Linked DNA regions of Arabidopsis thaliana. The protein of the gene in region 1 interacts with the protein of each later gene in a pairwise test. Each region holds a gene or a part of one and is shown in the gene's direction. Other genes may lie near its edges. The genes, in order: IAA13 and ARF4.

Evidence for each region.
Region 2: the proteins of IAA13 (region 1) and ARF4 interact in a two-hybrid assay, tested with the Arabidopsis thaliana proteins (one large-scale study listed by BioGRID).

The regions. Positions count from the first base shown.
Region 1 is NC_003071.7:14,112,560-14,121,577, reverse strand, and holds IAA13 (auxin-induced protein 13), read left to right. Parts: upstream 1-5,608; 5' UTR 5,609-5,820; coding exon 5,821-6,041; intron 6,042-6,311; coding exon 6,312-6,722; intron 6,723-6,806; coding exon 6,807-6,868; intron 6,869-6,959; coding exon 6,960-7,009; 3' UTR 7,010-7,297; downstream 7,298-9,018. Other genes in the region: AT2G33320 (Calcium-dependent lipid-binding (CaLB domain) family protein), read left to right, coding at 244-2,052; AT2G33300 (Transcription elongation factor (TFIIS) family protein), read right to left, coding at 7,618-8,448. UniProt on the Arabidopsis thaliana protein: Aux/IAA proteins are short-lived transcriptional factors that function as repressors of early auxin response genes at low auxin concentrations.
Region 2 is NC_003076.8:24,304,591-24,316,400, reverse strand, and holds ARF4 (auxin response factor 4), read left to right. Parts: upstream 1-3,616; 5' UTR 3,617-4,213; coding exon 4,214-4,588; intron 4,589-4,730; coding exon 4,731-4,787; intron 4,788-5,049; coding exon 5,050-5,235; intron 5,236-5,333; coding exon 5,334-5,418; intron 5,419-5,501; coding exon 5,502-5,592; intron 5,593-5,715; coding exon 5,716-5,877; intron 5,878-5,974; coding exon 5,975-6,094; intron 6,095-6,176; coding exon 6,177-6,252; intron 6,253-6,351; coding exon 6,352-6,517; intron 6,518-6,618; coding exon 6,619-7,307; intron 7,308-7,401; coding exon 7,402-7,592; intron 7,593-7,674; coding exon 7,675-7,843; 3' UTR 7,844-8,146; downstream 8,147-11,810. Other genes in the region: AGL62 (AGAMOUS-like 62), read right to left, coding at 8,881-9,456, 9,749-10,072. UniProt on the Arabidopsis thaliana protein: Auxin response factors (ARFs) are transcriptional factors that bind specifically to the DNA sequence 5'-TGTCTC-3' found in the auxin-responsive promoter elements (AuxREs). Could act as transcriptional activator or repressor.

The DNA.
Region 1 (9,018 bases):
AAAGGTTAATAAAAACATGGAAAACTGAGATAGGAAGCAATGGCCAATACCTTATCCCTACCATTCGGAGATTTGCCACCAAACGAATAACAATCTTAATGATCTATCCAATGGAGAATCGTCCACTCCTTAGGGGGCTAATCAAGAATTCGATTTTCCAATTCCATAGCTTTTTCAATTCTCCTAATTTCGTCAAATGTGACTGAGAATTTGAATAACAAACACTGATTGTGTACACAAACAATGTCGATATTTCCTTCTTTCCAATTGCTAGAGCTCAACATAATCTCTGCTCAAGATCTAGCTCCTGTCTCACGTAAAATGAAGACCTACGCGGTGGCTTGGGTTCACTCTGAACGCAAACTCACCACCCGCGTAGATTACACCGGTGGTGGAAACCCAACTTGGAACGACAAGTTTGTCTTCCGAGTTAGCGAGGATTTCCTCTACGCCGATACTTCAGCCGTCGTGGTTGAAATCTACGCTTTACATTGGTTCCGTGATGTTCACGTTGGCACAGTCCGTGTCCTCATTAGCAACTTAATCCCTCCAAATCGCCGACCTGGATACCGAAGCAACGAGGAGTACCGTCGTACACCCCCTCCCGGAATGCGATTCGTCGCACTTCAAGTTCGCAGACCATCAGGTCGTCCTCAAGGAATATTAAACATCGGTGTGGGAATACTGGACGGATCAATGCGTAGCATGCCACTTTACACCAATATGGACTCTTCTGCAGTAGGTTACAGAGACTTGCTTGGAGAAGAAGATCCAAATCTGCAGAATTTGCATCTCAATAGCTTCAAAGGAAGCTCAAAGAATCCACAATCACCATCTTCTAAACAATACCAATCCGTAGTCTCGAGACCGCCAATGCTCCGTCGTACAAGGAGCGATACAAGTTCAATGGTCGTTTCCGATCTTCTAAGCAGAGTTGAGCGAAGTCGTGTAGCTAATAGGAAGCCAGCGAGCGCGTTGATGAGCGCAGAATCGGAAACTGTACCTACAACGACGGGACACGATTCAGTGACTTCAGATTCCGAGCTGACGAAATCGATAGAGTATGCACTTCCTTATCAATCCCCAAAGATTCCAAGTCAGGGATACGATTCATACGAGCCTGATTTCATAGATCAATCACCAAATCACAATGTGTTGCGGCCGAGAAGTGAGAGACAACACGAACCTGATTTCATAGATCAATCACCTTTTCGATCAAACGATCGTTCACGCAAAACTCCGAGAAGATCAACACCAATGATCGAGAAACCAAGACCGCCGAGAGACTATGACCGTACAAGCAGCCGCGCTTCACCATATTTGTCAAGACACGGAACGCCGTTGAGATCAAACATCGTCGCGTCTACTCCGATCAGATCTAACATGGTTTCATCAAGTCCAATGAGATCCACCGGCGTCGGATCAACTCCGAGAAGATCTAACATCCTCGGATCGACTCCGTTACGATCCAACATCGTCGGATCAACTCCGATTAGATCTAACTACAAGGCTACACCGATGAAATCGCCTATGCAATTTGGTACTCCGATGAGATCTAATTTAGCAGGAAGACCGGTTTTAACAGAATCCGAATTAGGTCCGTCGCCATCAGAAGTAGCGCAGAAAATGGCGAAAGAGAGATCACAAGCTTACGAAACAGAGAGTTCGATTCTTAGTGAATGGAGCTTAGACGATGATAGTAACATCGAAGGTCTCCGATCGAAACTTGAGAGATGGAGAACAGAGCTTCCGCCGCTTTACGATCTGGGATCGAGTCATCAAAGCAGCGATGTAGGAAGCGGCGCGATGGTTGTTGCTAATGTAGGTGGAGGAAAAAGCTCGAGGAAGAAAACTCCGGCGGTGAAGAAGAAGCATAATCGCCGTCACACTGAAGGAGGAGGTAACGGACTTTTCTCGTGTTTTAGTAATTTGTGCGGCGTGGAATGCACATTCGTGTGTGGAGGCGGGTCGGATCAAGACGGGTCAAAAAAGAAAGGTGGGTCTGGGCGTTTGCCCCGCTTGGGCTCTGCTGATGATTTGAGTTATTTATGATTATTTTTAATTTTTAGGCTGACCAATATTCTTTTATTTTCTATATATTTGGTTTGTGAAAATGAGAAAATATTTGTGAATATTTTTAAACATTTCTCTTTTAAAATGTCATTGAGAAATATTGCATGCTATTTTCTTCTTATTACAATTGATATACAGTACACTAATACACATGAAACTATAAGGTAAGTTCAGATAGTTTGTAAAATGTAAAAATTTGCATAAAATATACTCTTGATATTTTGCTATCAAGCTATATGATTTTATATTTAAATTTTTGGCAAATGTGATCACGTGGACCGACGAAATAAAAGATCACTTTATGATGGATTCGGTTCAGAATTTTAAATCAATTAATTGTCGCTTATAGCTTAGTTTGACACAATAATTAAACTTAGCGAGATTAAAAATAGAGAAAAAGGAAATAAAGAGGCGCGAAAAAGGGGATTTGTGTCTTGCACTAAACGGGTAAACATCCGGGTGGTCCGCAAAGACCATTGAACAACGTGTCGTTTTAATATTAAGTACTTTTTGGTTTGATCCACCTTGTCGTTTTGTCCCCTTAAAACGACAGCCTTTTTCCTCCTTTCACAACCATTTTTTATTTACTTTCCAGTAATTTGTCACAGTATTTCTCCTCACATATTTGCTGACTGGTAAAATTTAGAACAGTGAAATGATTCTTCAGTTTTCAGTTTATTTTATTCAACTGTTGTCATTTCATCATTTTAGTGAAAAAAATAAAAATGAATTTTCATTCTACTGTTTTGCAAGTAATATGTTTTGTTTTTTCTTACAATTCTGATATACTATCTGACTGATGTAGACAATGTTTTGAGATAAGTTGATTTATATAAGAATGCAATAAATTTCCATTTTTAACAGTCGTATATCTAAATTTTTGTGTATAACTTCCTTAATTATGTCTTCGGATTTTTTTTAAAAAACTCGTTGATATATACTAACGGAAGCAATAAATTCTTTAATTGCTAAAGATTAATAAAGTTGTAACCTTTTTTTTGGGTCTTTTTCTTTAAAGATCGTTATGAAATGGGTATGGACCATGCTAGTATGCTACTAATTCAAAATAGTACATTGGCTATCTAAAGTTGGACTGTGTGAAATAGTTTATTCTACAATTTAAGACCTTTTTCAGGTAAGGAGAAATCACATATTAGAACTAAGATAATCTTAAATGTCTTCGAGTGATCATTTACTTTGTTATACAAAGACAATTTCCTTTTAATATCTACTGTAAAACATATTAATATATCGACAATATTGTTTAGTCTCAAAGTCTTTATGTTATGGTCCTAATAAAAACACTAATTTTTCTACATATTGATTTTAGTCTAGCATGTAGTATTTTTATCACTTTCTAAAAATCATGACTAGTCCTTAATCTTACTTTACAGAATACAATCCTCTTGCAAACTAATACTCTCATTATATATCTTTTCTTAGAATAGTTATATGTTACTGTTGGGATGTTTATAATATAAGATCAATCAAATCAAACAAATATGTATATTTATTTATATACATCTACAAGCGTGAAAATTCATTTGGAATGTCACATATGTTACAATTTTGGAACGTTTATACTTTATCAATATATATATATATTAATATATATTTACAAGCGTGAAGTCATCTCCATCATTTATCTTCAACCATTTGATTACAAGTTATGTATCATGAATCTGCTTTTGTCTTTTCCTTATGATTCCAAATGATATTAACCTTCAACTTGTTGCATGTTCACAAGAGACAAACACAATTCACGGTATATTTGATCAATTGTAATTCGTTACATACATAACTTTAATTCATTGAAATATACACGAACTAGATCAATTAAAAAATTCAGGACGTTGAAAAAGCTTTACAAAAGAAAAGAATGTATAACTTTTCCTTTACACGAATAGTAAATGAGAAAAACTCACATCTACAATTTTCGTTATCGTGTTAAATAGTATACAAATTTAAACCACTTTTTGAGCATTTAGACCTAAGTTTTATTTTCCGGAGATAAGCTGTTATTTTGCTCTGTTTACGTTTTCTTTTGCATCACTACTCTTATGCATATGTATATAAGTCCTCACTTTACTCATTAATAAATTTCTTATTTAAACTAAAAAATCATATACCGAAGTTACTATAAAACCTACGAATTCTCTCTAATTCATAAACATTTGTAAACAGCATTCATTAATACTATATGATAGATAATAAATAACTGTTCGTATAATCTACTTATTTTTCTTATTTCACCTTTACAGACAACCCCACAGCCCACTTGGGTATCGACTTTATAGTTAAAGCAATGTTCGTGCCTTTTGTCCTATAAAGGAACGACACAGGTAGCGCCTAAGAAAAAAATAAAAACTAACAAGTGAGTAAAAATGCAAAATAAGTAGAAGGGAAAAAGAAAAAACGAGTATAAAAATCACACGCAATTCTAGAACAAACGTAGATAACGTGAAAAACATAGAATCAACTATTTGATATTGACTAACTGTTAGTGTACTTGGAACTGTGAGAATAAGTCGCTTTGAAGTCTGAAGAGGTTCAGGTGTCCTGAGTTTCTAAATAAATAAAGAGAACAAACTTGTACTTGTTTTTTGGTTGTGAAATATTACTGTATCTTAATACTGTGAAATTTCAACATATTTCTTGAAACTAAGTTTGGTATTTCTAGCAAATCCATCAATAGAGTATGAAATTCAATGTTCTCATTTAGTCATGATTTTGATCAAAAGAGAATTTTCCACACATCAATTGCGATTGAAAAAGTTTTCAAAGGATCATCATAGCTCACATCAAGAAACATGATGATGAATAATCTCATCACCACTATTTATTTAATAATTCCTTATAATGAAAACCAATTTTGTTCTCACTTTATTTGGAACCCATCATAGTCTAGTCCTCCACGAAAAAAAGAAAAGAAAATAAATGAGCATATAGTGACCCAAAACTAAACCCAAATTCAACTTTTTTTCAAAACTGGTACTTAGCTATACGTTTTCACATATTTAACAGTTGTTACTATGAACATGATATAAAGCATAGCTAACCAGATAAGATCAAACGCAACGAATACAAAATAAACTCTAATATAGCAATCATCAAAACGAATACAAATTCTTGCAAAAATAGAAAAGAAAGTGTGATGCAAAAACAAAGCTTTCCACAAATACAAACACATAACACAAAAACAACAGTTTATATATTTAATATAGTTTAATAAGATATGTTTGTTTTGTTTATCATATTTTTTTATAAACACAGGAGAAAACAATAAGGTAAACGGGAGCACGACAAGTTTGATAATGTCGGGAAGAAAAGTTAAAAAGAATTTCTTTGTTAATAATAAAATTAGGGAATAAAAAAAGGGTAAAAGAGAAGAAGAAAGAATGGCATTGTTGTTGGTATGGCCACTACCAGACATATGGGTCCTACTCTTCTCATCACTCTCTCCACCACCTAATCCTCTCTCTCTTTCTTCTTCCTCAATTCTTGAAACTCTCTTTCAGATTTCAAGAAACCCTTAAAATCCTCTCTCTGTCTCTTTCTGTTTGTTTGTTTTCTTGTTTCCTTCTCTCTCTCTCTTTCTTTCTTTGTCTTCCTTTCCCAGGTTGTTTTTTTTTGCTCTCTCTGCCTTCTTGACTTTCAAAAGACTCTTTCTTTCTTTTGGATTGATTTTGGATTCTAGGGCTCTCTTTCTTTTAGTGGGTTTTTGTTGTTGTTGTTGTGGTCTCTCTGATGATTACTGAACTTGAGATGGGGAAAGGTGAGAGTGAGCTTGAGCTTGGTCTAGGGCTGAGTCTTGGCGGTGGAACGGCGGCCAAGATTGGTAAATCAGGTGGTGGTGGCGCGTGGGGAGAGCGTGGAAGGCTTTTGACGGCTAAGGATTTTCCTTCTGTTGGTTCTAAACGTGCTGCTGATTCTGCTTCTCATGCTGGTTCATCTCCTCCTCGTTCAAGGTTCGTCTTTTTCAAGCTTTTTGGTTTCAAAGAAAGATCTTTTAAGATGTTTAATTCCTTTTGTATGATGTGAAATTGCTATTCTCTGAACATAGTTCGTTTAGGAGTTTCTTAAAGATTCTTTAGTGTTTGGATGTATACTTGATCTGAGTTATGTCGGAAGAAATGCTCTGGTTTGGAATTAGGAATCTTGAATAGTTGAATCTGTTCTTGGTTTTGATTCATTTGGATAGATTACAAGTCCTGACTTGATGTTTGCTTTGTTTGTAGCAGTCAAGTTGTTGGATGGCCTCCTATAGGGTCACACAGGATGAACAGTTTGGTTAATAACCAAGCTACAAAGTCAGCAAGAGAAGAAGAAGAAGCTGGTAAGAAGAAAGTGAAAGATGATGAACCTAAAGATGTGACAAAGAAAGTGAATGGGAAAGTACAAGTTGGATTTATTAAGGTGAACATGGATGGAGTTGCTATAGGAAGAAAAGTGGATTTGAATGCTCATTCTTCTTACGAGAATTTGGCGCAAACATTGGAAGATATGTTCTTTCGCACTAATCCGGGTACTGTCGGGTTAACCAGTCAGTTCACTAAACCGTTGAGGCTTTTAGATGGATCGTCTGAGTTTGTACTTACTTATGAAGATAAGGAAGGAGATTGGATGCTTGTTGGTGATGTTCCATGGAGGTAATAGATCTAAAAACCTTGTTTATTTATCTCTTACACTTCCAATAAATGTTTCTGATGGTCTTTTTGTTGGAATTATCTTAGAATGTTCATCAACTCGGTGAAAAGGCTACGTGTGATGAAAACCTCTGAAGCTAATGGACTCGGTATGTAGATAATCTCATCTTGATTCCTGTTCTTGTTTCTCAAGATGACGCAATGAAAAATTTCTACTAAAACATGTTAATATATATGCAGCTGCACGAAATCAAGAACCAAACGAGAGACAGCGAAAGCAGCCGGTTTAGATCTCTTTTCGACGTTACGGTGTTACAGGTTTTATATTTTGGGGTTTTGCAAGTCTGAGATACTTCTGAAGCAAGCATAAGCTAGATTGATCTTATATCCAGTTTGTGTATTTTCTTGGTTCTTATAATGGTTTTTACTGGTTTTCTTTAGTTTTTTTTTTTGCTGTCTTTTAATTTTCGGTTGCGATTTCACTATATACTATGGATGGAAGAGAATGCTCTTTATATCTTTTACTACACTGTAAATATTTGAAGCTTATCTAATATCGTTTTTAAGGGTTTTTGTTGATGAGTCTACTCTAATGATCTTAGAACTATGCCAATATATCCACAAATAACTACTCAGATCAAATGGGGTTACGGAAACATAAGGCAAGAAAGCAAATAGATTACAAAACTCATAATGTATTTACAACTCAAAACGTTTCACACAGGTTAAACTTCTTATAATAGTGATTGTGAAAATCCTTAATACATACATATTCCTCTCACTGTTAGCTTTTGAGTAATGTAATTGAAGCAGTGACTACAATACTCTACTTTAAGCAAAAGAATAAGCAAGCAACCAACGTTTTCAAGTCATAAGCTTTTAAATTCCCTAGTGACATTTAGCCTTGAGTTTTACGGGACTCTCTGAGTTGTTGATCTCTGATACTCTGCCTCCAACATTGAAGAAGTTTTGAAACAGAATTGCATATTTTTCGGTTCTTGTGTTTTGTAAGATTCTCTAGCCTAACCATGAGCTTCCTTGTTTCCATAGCTCTTGCGCTGATGGGGAACTCCAAGAGCAAAGCGAGGGTATCTACGCACATTGATGTTTCTACTTCAGACGCGAGGATTCCCTTTGCGTTGGCAAAATCAGCAGATTTTTTGGCGATCTCGAACAGTTCCAACAAATCCTTGTCGTTCTTCTTCAAGACAGGACAACCTTTAGATGCGTTCACAGGTGGCCCATGTTCCCCGGATCTAGGGTTTTTAGAAAGTTTCATTGGTAAAGCTGATTTCTTCTTCACCTGAATAGTTCTCGCTGCAAAAGACTTGTAATCACCAGGCTTCTTCAAATTTTGTTTGGTCTTGCCGGTTTCATGATTAGCCGCCCTAGATCTCTGATCTTCTGTCTTGTTCAAGTTTGAGGATACTTGAACAACATCAGGCTTCTGTAGCGTTAGGCGAACCTTGTAGCAAGTACTATTATCCCTCACGCTCTTCATGGATACTTTTTCTGGAACATGATTCTGTTCATCAATTTGCTTAACTTCTCCGGTTTCATGAGCGTGCGAACTCTGATGTTCTCTCTTCTTCAACCCCGAACATACTTTAACAACATTATTTTTCTTCAGATTCAAGGTAAGAGCTTTGTTGTAAGTATAAGCGTCTTTTTCACTGGAAGAAAGAGTCTTCTTCATCGATGAGGAGTTGAACAAAACGTGAGATTCCATTCCTAATCTAACTAGGGTTTAACTCTATCAAATTTGGTTATCGAATTATGGAGATAGAGCGTAGAGAGTTTCAGGTATTATATAGATTGTAGAGAGTAGAGACCCAAACAAAAAAGGAAATTAAAGGAAGCTTTCTTCAGGCCCACGCAACGAAACAACGTCGGACTATACTAATTTCCTTTTTTCTTGTCGAGTACATCCAAGGGTAAATCTGTCAGACCAGATATTTCAACGTTAAAACAATCAGTGACCAATCAAGTAGTAAGTATTTTTAAAAATCCTCTCTTTTCGTTCTTTCTTAATCCGATCCTCTGTTTCGTAAGAAGAAACAGAGATTATAAAGAGCCACTAGATTAACCTAGATTAACCTAGATTAACGAAAAAACGGTTTGTTTCGGTTCCACGTAACAACGGTAACTTGGTAAGAAGCAAAAGCTAACACGAAGTAAAACAAGAGCTGGTCTGTTTCAACATAAATTTACATAAACCAAAATTACTTTCACAAAAAATATAGTAAAAACCCCTCAGTTTTTACAAAAGAGAAACACATTTACTTCACTTAAACAATTA
Region 2 (11,810 bases), on another chromosome or scaffold:
ATTAAAATTTCTGAAAATGAACTTTTTAATTAGTTTCCCTTCATAAAACACAATTTCAAGAATACCGTGCATAGATTTTTATTGGATTTTTAAAATGACTGTAACTAATTCTCTCTGTGTGTGGTTATTCCGGAACCGCAATTAACTACAAACATGTTAAAAAAAAAGAAAGTAAAAATAGTATTACAAAAAAAAATGAGAGGGAGAGAGAGAGAGAGGAGTGTCTTTAATCGAATGATACAGACACTTGTGACTTTAATAAAGTCATTGGCGTTGCTTTGTCGTTTTCTCGCGACAATATTTTTGACACGACGTCTCCTAATTATCCACCTCTGTCTTTTTCCTTTTTTTTTTTTGCTCTGCCAAACAATAAACTTTTTTCTTCTATTTTTAATAAAACCATCTCTACTTAAATATCAATATTATAAAAAACAGTATGATTTCATTATATATTGATTCTTATTACAAATTACGCCAAATTTATATAGTATGTACATGCAGGAATCTCGTAAACTCAAAAAATACATATTAAAAATATAGTACAAAGAAAAATTGCCATATATTTGAAAAGAACAACAAATATCCATAGGCTAATTCAATCAACTTGGTCAAAAGAAATCAGGCAACAAATATGGCTATGGATATGTGCTATTCTTTCCACACATAAAAAAACATGAATATTTTGAAACCTCGGTACAAAAAAGAAAATATAATATTTTCAGAAATAAAACTCGATAAATTGAACGTTATGATCTCTACAATTTAGTAATTTACATGTATGCCGCATGAAACGAAACTGAAACAGAGAGAAGAAGAAAATCAGAACCGAGCGTGATGGCTTGTACCGTAAGAAAGGGAGGATAAGAGTTTTACCAAAAAAAAAAAAGGAGGATAAGAAAAAAAAATGGAGGCATGTAAAAGACGAGATAAATACAAATAGAGGATGAATATATGCTTAGGTTTTTTTTTATAAACACAAGCTTACTTTGAGTGGAGAGTCAAAGCATCCAAGTGGCTCATTTCTTCAAATGGATGCTTAATTACTTTCAGCAGGAGAAAGTCACAAACAAATTTAAGTGGAATCTTTATTTCTATAATTCTATTATTTTCAGAGCTATATTGCTTTATGTGTTGTATTTTGACAAATTTACGTGTATATAATTATATATATTGAGTTTTTGGTCCAAAACTAACTCACATCATAAAATTCAACCGTGGGACTTCTCACAATATAATCAAATTAGATGTCTTTTCTAAAATTGTACAAAATCGACTTTCTTAGTAAAATATTATTTTAGTTAGGAAATTAAGAAACATGAAAATGAGATACGATCCACTCTTTCTTTTTAGTACTAATTAAAAAAAGATAATCTTTGACTAAAAGTTATGATCAGCAGACAGAAGAATATGGTAATCATATCATTAAGAATAAGAGATTACACGTTTCGAATTATGGTGCAACATCAGAATAAACAAGATATATATTTCTAATCAGAAGTACTAAAGAAAAAAAGTGAGAATATTAAGCTAGTTTTAGAAGGAGTATGTTGCATGAAAAATGTAAGAAAAACAATAAAGAAGGTGGGGGCCAAAGAGGCAGCAAATATCAAGGGGGTCTTTGTTAGTTGTTGGGACTCAGTCACTAACTCACAACTTCTGAAGAAGAGACTCATTCTTTCTCCTTCTCCCATCCCATCATCCTTTTTGTTTTCTTCTTTTCTTATTCTTTTTTTTCTTCTCCAATGAAGTTACGAAAGGTTATTACTCATAATCAAATGTTTTTAAAAGTAGATAATTAAGTAAGTTGCGAAATTGTGAAAGGAATATACAAAACATAATATGATACTTTGATCAGGTTATATGAATTAGTAGCAAACTAATATTATATGAGCAAAAATACATGTTACTAGATTTTAACCCGCGGTACACCGCGGACACAGTTCATTTTTAAAAATTAATATATATAAAAATTTGTAAATTATTTTATAGTTTACCATTGTTACTAAGTAACGTCCTGCCAAACCCGTCCTGCCAAACCCGTCCACAAAAAAAAACTATTTATTTTATTAATGTTGATCTTATTTATAATATGTTTATGAATCATTGTCAAAATATTTTAGTCGTTGCGGGACGTTGTACCCACACATTTTTCGCCAATTGGTTAATATATGTTCATTCTTAAAATTTCGAATTACAAAATATGACGAAATTTTTTTTGAGATTTTTTTAAACTTTATATATTATATAATGATGTTAATTATTTTTGATAGATTAAACTTTTTATAAATTCAAATATTAATAATGTTTTATGAAGTTTAAATATACAAATAATAATATTTAAAAAATTAATATTTTTTGCCTTTTAGGTAAATGATATAATAACTCTAAAAGCAAAATTTAAAAGATTTAAATCTTTAAATAAATATTTTCATGCCTAAATAATTAATGTCAGTAGCATGACATTGTAAATAAGTTCAAATACATGATTTGTTTATTTAAACAAAAAATATTTAGTAAGAACAATATTTATTTAAACAAAAAATTTTGTTAATAAAATACGTTTATGCTAATTTTAAGGGATTGATGTGAAGTTTGTTTGGATTAAATTTGATTGATAATGTGATTGACAATTTAAATTAAAAATTTAAAGTAAAATTAATTATTTTGAAAAAAAGATTTAATGCTAATGGCATTGGGTTGTAAATAAGTTCAACTCTAAGATTTATTTGCTAAAATGACTGCAAAAATGTATATATAAATGTTTTCAAATTATGAAGCAATCATTTGGACCATCAAATATATTTTATTTATTTTTACTAAACCCATTTGAAGATATTTATCCAATAAGTAGTAAGTATTTGAGTAGTTTTATTTTACTGAAAGAGTCGGTGTGGTTATTGAAGTATAAATTTTATATTACAGACCGCTGAAAGTTTTTTTTAGTTGATTAGGTTTTTAAACACAGACAGTACTTTAGTTAATCAATAACAAAATGCTGATTTTCATATTGTTTGTCTCAGAAAAAGAGAGAAAAAGTGCTTTTGTTACAAAATCGAAAGGAGCCTACTCTTCTGTCTTTAGCCGGTTGGTTGGCTCTTAACAACGCAATGAAAAAGCATTTTTTCTAATAAATCGAAAACAAATAAAAATTCATAACATAAAAAAAGAAAGAACAAAGAAAGATTCCAAAGAGATACTGTTTCCTTTGTAAGAGTATGCAAAGAAAAAGCTAATCAATTTGCGGTTTTTATTCCTCACAACTCACACAAGTTAAAGAAAATTATGGTGTGAATGAGAAAAACAAAGGGTTACGTCAATTTCGTAATACCATAAATCCAATAGATGCATATAAACTTTGATGGTTCATTTTGAGTGAATAGTCTAGTATGAATAATTAAACGATTGATTCATCGATGGTTTGACGTATTTAAAAAACAGTTGATTTTGAAGAAAACAATCTAGACAATGGATTGAATTAGTCTTATTAGCACCTAATTAAACTTTTAACATTTCTTCTTTCAACAAAAAGGACGAAAATCAAAAACGGTAATAATTAGCAAAAAAGTGAAAACTTTTATTTTGTGTAAACGTGTGTATATTGACACAAATATAGTTTTTATATATAAAATTTCATGTGAATAAATAAGTCTTTATTGGGAAACAAAAACAAAAAAGAGAGAAGAAGAGGAAGAAGAAGAAGAAGGAGAAAGGGAGAGTGTAGGTGTGGGTTCTGTTCTGTCTTGGCTTTGTCTCCCCCGCTTATCTCTCCCTCTCTTTCTCTCTCTCTCTCTCTTTCCACTAAATTGTTTTTTTTTTGCTCTTTAAAAAGTATATTTTTTTCCAATCTGCAAATTTTAGTCTATGTCTGTTCCTTGTGCTCCCTCTTCTCAGTACCTGCAAATGGAGGAAGAAGAATCCTTCTCTGAAACCCTTGTTCTCATTTGATTCCTCCTTCCTCTCTCTTCTTCTCTCTCTGTCTCTGATTCGTTATTCCACACTTATGACTCATCTTTCCCGTCAATAGCTAAGTTTGCCTCTTCTTTGTGAAATTTAGCTGAAAAAGGAGAGGAATTCCGAATTCTGTCACTTCAAAGCTCGAATTTTGCAAACTTTCCTTTGATGGGTTTTACTTGTTTTGTTGTAATCTGATTAAAAATAGAAACTTTTTGTTTTCTTCTTGTCTCCTTTTGCTCTTAAAAGAGAAGCTTTTTCAATGGAATTTGACTTGAATACTGAGATTGCGGAGGTGGAAGAGGAGGAGAATGATGATGTAGGAGTAGGAGTAGGAGGAGGAACAAGAATTGACAAGGGTAGGCTTGGAATTTCACCATCTTCTTCTTCTTCATGCTCTTCCGGATCATCATCGTCATCATCTTCTACAGGCTCTGCATCTTCCATTTACTCTGAGCTTTGGCATGCTTGTGCTGGTCCTCTCACTTGTCTTCCCAAGAAAGGCAATGTAGTTGTCTATTTCCCTCAAGGTCATTTGGAGCAAGATGCTATGGTTTCATATTCGTCTCCTCTTGAAATCCCCAAATTTGACCTTAATCCCCAAATCGTCTGCAGGGTGGTTAATGTCCAGTTGCTTGTAAGTCTGTCTGTATCACTCTACCCAAATAAAGAACATTCCTTTTGTGTTCTATTTTACTATTCTTGAACAAGTTCTGTTTTCTTTCTCTAATTGTGGTAATTGTTTGCAAACTTGGTTCCTTCTTTTGGGGAAACAAAAGGCTAATAAGGACACCGATGAGGTCTACACTCAAGTCACTCTGCTTCCACTTCAAGAGGTACTCTCTTTTACTCAAACTTGTTGCTTTTTTGACAATTCAATTGATTTTTGATATCACTAGTGTAATTCCAGATTCTAGGTGTGATTTTAGATGCTACGGTTTAAAGAGATTGTGAATAATCTTGTTTGTTCTCTAAGTGACTCAAACTCATCATTGGTTTAACAGGATCAGAGGAATCACTGAAACCGTTGGTCTTGTTGAGTTTCATTTATAATCTCTGTGATGTTAAGATGCTGAAGTAACTTCTTGGTTTTTATAGTTTTCGATGCTAAATGGGGAGGGGAAAGAGGTCAAGGAGTTAGGAGGGGAGGAAGAGAGGAACGGAAGCTCATCCGTCAAGCGGACACCTCATATGTTCTGTAAAACCTTAACAGCGTCTGACACAAGCACACATGGAGGCTTCTCTGTACCTAGAAGAGCCGCTGAAGATTGTTTTGCTCCTCTTGTATAATTCTCTATATCTCATTTCCTTATTTTTTTTTTTAAGGAGAGGTTTTATCTTCTTGTTATAAGCCTTATTTGTGAATTTTCCACTGGTGTTAGGACTACAAACAACAGAGGCCATCTCAAGAGCTCATTGCAAAGGACCTCCATGGAGTAGAGTGGAAGTTTCGCCATATCTATAGAGGTGGTTTTGAGTTTGTTATTATTCGTTTCTTTTTTCTTCGTCAGTGAAACCAAAATGTTTAGTTCTGTCTCTTTTTAATATAGGTCAACCAAGGAGGCATCTACTCACCACTGGTTGGAGTATCTTTGTCAGTCAAAAGAATCTCGTCTCTGGTGATGCGGTTCTCTTTCTGAGGTAATCGTAAGATTTCAGTTTATCAAATGGTGATGTAGATTCATGGTGTTTCCCTCTGCTTTGGTGGTTTGAAGCCCTTGATCCAATAATGTTTACATTCATTACTAATATCGGCGTTTATAGAGACGAAGGAGGAGAGCTGAGATTAGGAATCAGAAGAGCAGCACGGCCAAGAAATGGACTTCCTGACTCAATCATTGAGAAGAATTCATGTTCAAACATTCTGTCTCTTGTGGCTAATGCTGTATCTACAAAAAGCATGTTTCATGTGTTCTACAGTCCACGGTGAGATAAAAATGAAAAGCTGCCATTCGTAATGATTCTTAACTAGGTTCAGTAAGAAATAAAGAACTATAATGTTGATTTGTGGATTTATATACAGAGCGACGCATGCAGAGTTTGTGATTCCTTATGAGAAGTATATCACAAGCATCAGGAGTCCTGTTTGCATAGGCACAAGATTTAGAATGCGATTTGAAATGGACGATTCTCCTGAGAGAAGGTATTGTTTCTTTCTTGCTTCTTTCTCTGTGTTGTGTAGCTAATATTGTTGGACGAGAATTTATATTCGATCTTTCTTGCAGATGCGCTGGTGTAGTGACTGGAGTCTGTGACTTGGACCCGTATAGGTGGCCAAACTCTAAATGGAGGTGCTTGTTGGTGCGTCCTCTCATCTTTTTGGAGTATCTGTCTATTAACGTGTAGAAGACTTTTCATTTTCGAAGATTGATATCTAAATCTTTCACATTTGTTTGGCAGGTGCGATGGGATGAGTCTTTTGTGAGTGATCATCAAGAAAGAGTTTCACCTTGGGAGATTGATCCCTCGGTTTCTCTCCCACACTTGAGCATTCAGTCATCTCCAAGGCCTAAAAGGCCATGGGCAGGTTTACTGGATACTACCCCACCCGGAAACCCCATAACAAGTAAATTATATAGACCTCTCTTCTCTTTGGAGTATATGCTTTTGCAAACAGTTCTCAATTTTCATCAGTATATTATTGATAACTGTTCTTGGTTGCAGCAGAAAGGGGTGGTTTTTTGGACTTTGAGGAGTCGGTTAGACCCTCTAAGGTCTTGCAAGGTCAAGAAAATATAGGTTCTGCATCACCCTCACAGGGGTTTGATGTTATGAACCGCCGGATACTGGATTTTGCGATGCAGTCTCATGCAAATCCAGTTCTTGTGTCGAGTAGAGTCAAGGATCGATTTGGTGAGTTTGTAGATGCTACTGGCGTGAACCCAGCTTGTTCAGGTGTTATGGACCTGGATAGGTTTCCAAGGGTCTTGCAAGGTCAAGAAATTTGCTCGCTTAAATCATTCCCGCAATTTGCTGGTTTCAGTCCAGCTGCTGCTCCTAATCCCTTTGCTTACCAAGCCAACAAGTCAAGTTACTATCCGCTAGCTTTGCATGGGATTAGGAGCACTCATGTTCCGTATCAGAATCCATACAATGCGGGAAACCAATCCTCGGGTCCCCCTTCACGTGCAATAAACTTTGGTGAAGAGACTAGAAAGTTTGATGCACAAAATGAAGGTGGCCTACCAAATAATGTTACAGCTGATTTGCCATTCAAGATTGATATGATGGGAAAACAGAAAGGCAGTGAGTTGAATATGAATGCTTCATCAGGATGTAAACTTTTCGGATTCTCCTTACCAGTGGAGACACCTGCATCTAAGCCGCAAAGCTCGAGCAAAAGAATCTGTACAAAGGTAAAACGTTTTCTTTATCATCTCTTTGGCTACTTTGAGTTGCAGTTTTAGATGTCTCTTCTAATCAGTTCTTGTGTTGAATTGTTATCAAAAGGTTCACAAGCAAGGAAGCCAAGTGGGGAGAGCTATTGATTTGTCGCGACTTAACGGGTATGATGATCTCCTTATGGAGCTTGAACGGCTGTTCAACATGGAAGGGCTTCTCAGGGATCCTGAAAAAGGATGGAGGATCTTATATACTGATAGTGAGAACGATATGATGGTCGTTGGCGATGATCCATGGCAGTAAGTTCTTTATACATACCTTCTAAAGGTCAATCACAACTTCTTTTCTCCTAACTTGAAATTGGCTTTCTGCTATGGATAGTGATTTCTGCAATGTGGTGTGGAAGATACACTTATACACGAAAGAGGAAGTGGAGAATGCGAATGACGATAACAAGAGTTGTTTAGAGCAAGCTGCTCTCATGATGGAAGCATCAAAGTCATCTTCTGTGAGCCAGCCTGATTCTTCTCCTACAATCACTAGGGTTTGATACCCATAAAGAAGCTTATTTCCTATGTTTTAAAGTGTGTTTTGCTCACAAAAGAACTTCAACTTTATCTTTGTCTTTGAATCCATTTATGTGTTTGTTTGTGTTTCTTCTGGTCTCCATGGATGTCTCATGTGTACCGTTTTACTCGAGAGATATGTGAGTTTATGGGATGTGTAAAGCATGCCATTGGATTTTAAGGTTTTCAAAATTACAATATATATATTAGTTTTGAAGTATTTTGCTTGATTTTGAAAATTTCATTTCTTAAGTTCTTACATATGTGGATACTCTTGTATTGTTCTTACAATTTTTTTATTTATTTTTAGATTGATATCTAATACATACTAGATATTTGATGATGATTTAATCTTTTTTAAGGAAAATAAATATTAGAGTATACTGCACGGATTAATTAAATAGAATGATGTGACATAGATTTAGCCTTTTTTTCAACTAAAAGTTAACCTTAATTTTATTATATTTTCCTTAAATTTAACATTAATTTTATTATATTTTCTATATTAGAATTAGATTTTTATCATTTTAGGAATATTTCACAATATCTGTATTTCATCATTATAAGGAATGAAATTAGAGGGAAAGCCATTGTAATGCTGTCATTTCATTTTTTACAATGTACCAAAATATGTGGGATAATGTATGTACTATTTTAGTTGAAAAATGGTGCACACAGAAATTTTCATTATGCTTTTTTGCAAATTTATTTTAAAATAGTACATGATTGATTATGATTATTACCTTTCTGTGTTTAAAATTCTGCAATTGCCCAAAATGCGTAAACGTAACCATGGCAGACTAGTATTTTCAGAGGCGTAATGCATTTGTTTCCGACACATATAATTTATATATAGCAATAACATAATTTTGAAATGAAACAACACAATACAACATAATACTTAAACAAGAACAAGAAAAACAACAACAACACATGTAGAAACATAAATAAGAAGAAATAAAGATAACCTAAACACACAACTTTTTGTCTAGAGACTTAAGTTGGATCACACAACAAAGGGTTAATAGTAATCAGATCTAGACTGGGGAGGATAACCATGATGATGTTCATATTCAGAGATGTTTTCTCTCTTAAAACTCTGGTTTTGGATTTGGATTTGAACTTGATTTTGGTTTTGGATTTGGTTTTGGTTTGGGTTATACTCTGGTCTGAAGTTCACATTGTATTCTGGAACAAACCCTTCATTAATACCATAAGCATTGTTTCCAAAGGGTGGTAATGCATGATTAGGGTGAATTTGGTTCTGGTTGTAGTTGAAGGCATTTATGTCCATCATTCTTCTTTGGCTAAAGAGATCCATATCAGGGTTGATATGACTACCATCATCAATCCCAAAAGCAGCATTATTACTAGAACTTCCCACATAGAAGTTTGGAACATTTGCCTGAAAAAATCTGGAAGCTTCGACTGTAACTACTTTCTTCAAATTTTCAAGATTACCTTTGAACCCCTCGAGTTGAGATAACGCAAGTTCCTCAACGGGATCTTCCCACCAATTCCCAAGGGCTTTTGTCTTTTCTCTTATTTTCTTTAACTCGTCGTACTTCTTTTTCTCTGTTTCTAATTGACTCAACACCTGCAAATATATATACAAATAAAAACACCAATAATATTATTAATTTTCATACCATATGATTCTATAACATTTCATCGGCATTTTTATCTAACATACTATTAGGATATAAATCTATTCTAGTTATGGAGAAAAAGACTGTCTAATGTTTTTTATATATTATTTATTCACCTGCGAAAACTTTTACTTATATATATTAAATAAAAAAAGAATTTAACCATAGAAATTTGGGTTTTATGATTCATAGAAAACACTATTTTGTTTTAATCATACTTAAAAATAAGAGTAAGATTACCTGAGTAAGATGATTATTCAGATCCTGAACAATCGAATTTCGACGAGTTTCTCTAAGTTGCATGTTGTTGTGTTGGTGAGGAGGTAGAGGGTTATTGTTTATGAATCGATCAATTACAGAATCAACATTTGGATGACCAAAAGAAAAGACTTTTCGACCAGGTGAGAACACAACTATGGCCACTTCTGCACCACAAAGTGTGCAAAGCTCACTAGCCTTTTTGAAAAGTCCAGATCTTCTTTTTGAAAAAGTAACTTGAAGGTTACTTTCATTTTTCATTTTGACCATCTCTATTTTTTGACGACCTTTGCTTTTTTTCACCATTTTTAGTGATATTTGAGAAGCTAAAATATAGGATTGGTGTTTGTAGAATGAAAATGCTCATGTATTTATAGCAGAATATTACAAACCAAATAATTAATATTTGAGTTGTCTATGAGTAAATTTCAACTTTGATTTATTATATTTTTATTTGAATTTGAATTTTACTATTTTTGTAACATTTCATAATCTTAATATTCAATCAATATATGGTATGCAATACAAATTTATTTGACTATTATCTTCTCATTTCATTTGTACAATGTATCCAAATCTGCCAGAAAGATCCACCTTTAATTAGTAGTGATCTTTTCATATCTAATAGTAATATTATTGGAATATTTTTTTTAAATATAGCAACAAAAATGGCGGCGTAAAAAAAATTACTAACAAGTAACAAGCGTAATATGGTCAATATGTTTTTGATTTACTGATACATCATTTTCGTTAATTGTTTAATATTCTAAACTTAATCTCATATTTTAATATATTAAAAAATCGTTATATTGTTATCTGAAATTATTTGTCGCTATTTTCTAAAGTAAAACATGTATTCTCTCGTTTTTTTTTGTTAAAGGGTCTTCTTATGTATTCTCTCGTTATTGGTGATTGATCTATTATCGATAATGAAAACTATTTATGATAAAATGATTGTATGATTTTTTTAGCAATTGTTGTAACAAATATACTCCGTTACATTATTTATGCAATCATATTCTTTGCTACTTTTTAGATAGAACATATTTTTCTTACGTTATTAGCGATTGATTTGTTATCACTAATGAAAAATATTTATGATAAAATTGTTATGTGATTCTAGCAACTCGGCCACAATTGTGATAGGTTTGAGATATATATATGATTAAGCCCGGCATGACTATGAACTATTTCTTTGTGTTCCATACACATATATCCTTCTCTCTTTATATATATATACACACTAACCTTTATATGATGTAATTATCATCTAAAAATAGTTTATTTATATATTTATTTTAAGAGAGTATATTATAAAAGATTAGATTCAAGGAAAAACATTCGATATATTGTTTATCGGATGAAATGAGTTTATGAATTTTGCACTAAATAATGTTCCTTTATGAATATAGAAAACTTAGTTATTTATGTGATAAATACAGAAAAAATGAAAATCGTCAAAAACGGATACCATGAGATAACACTATAATTTTGAGAGCTTTAAGATAGAATTATTTTGTTTGGACCGTTATATAGAATATGAAGACCATTCCAAATTCATTATTATTTCTGATAAATTGACAATAGATATATGCCGTTACATTACTTACTAACTCTGTTTTTAAAATAATAATGGAATACATTCCTCTATTGTTATTGGCGATAAATTTGTTACTGATAATAACATATATTTATGATAAAATGGTGATATCTTATTTCCAATAATATTTATAGCTCCCCTATCTCATTTGATGGATTGATAAAAATTATTTGAATGACTTTATTATTTTTTGATAATTTGAAGCCAGATTCTCTTAAATTACACAAAATATCAATTATATAGTAATTAATATGAAATATTCAACTTATCTATGTAGAATGTAAATGTCATCCAAAAATAGTGAAATGGTAGTTGTTTCAGATAATATCTCCAATTAAAATTATTTTACCGATGATAATATAATACGGGCATGTTTATTAAAGTATGCATAAAATAGTGATCTTTAAAAGAATCTTATCATAATACTGAACTAGATAGAATTGA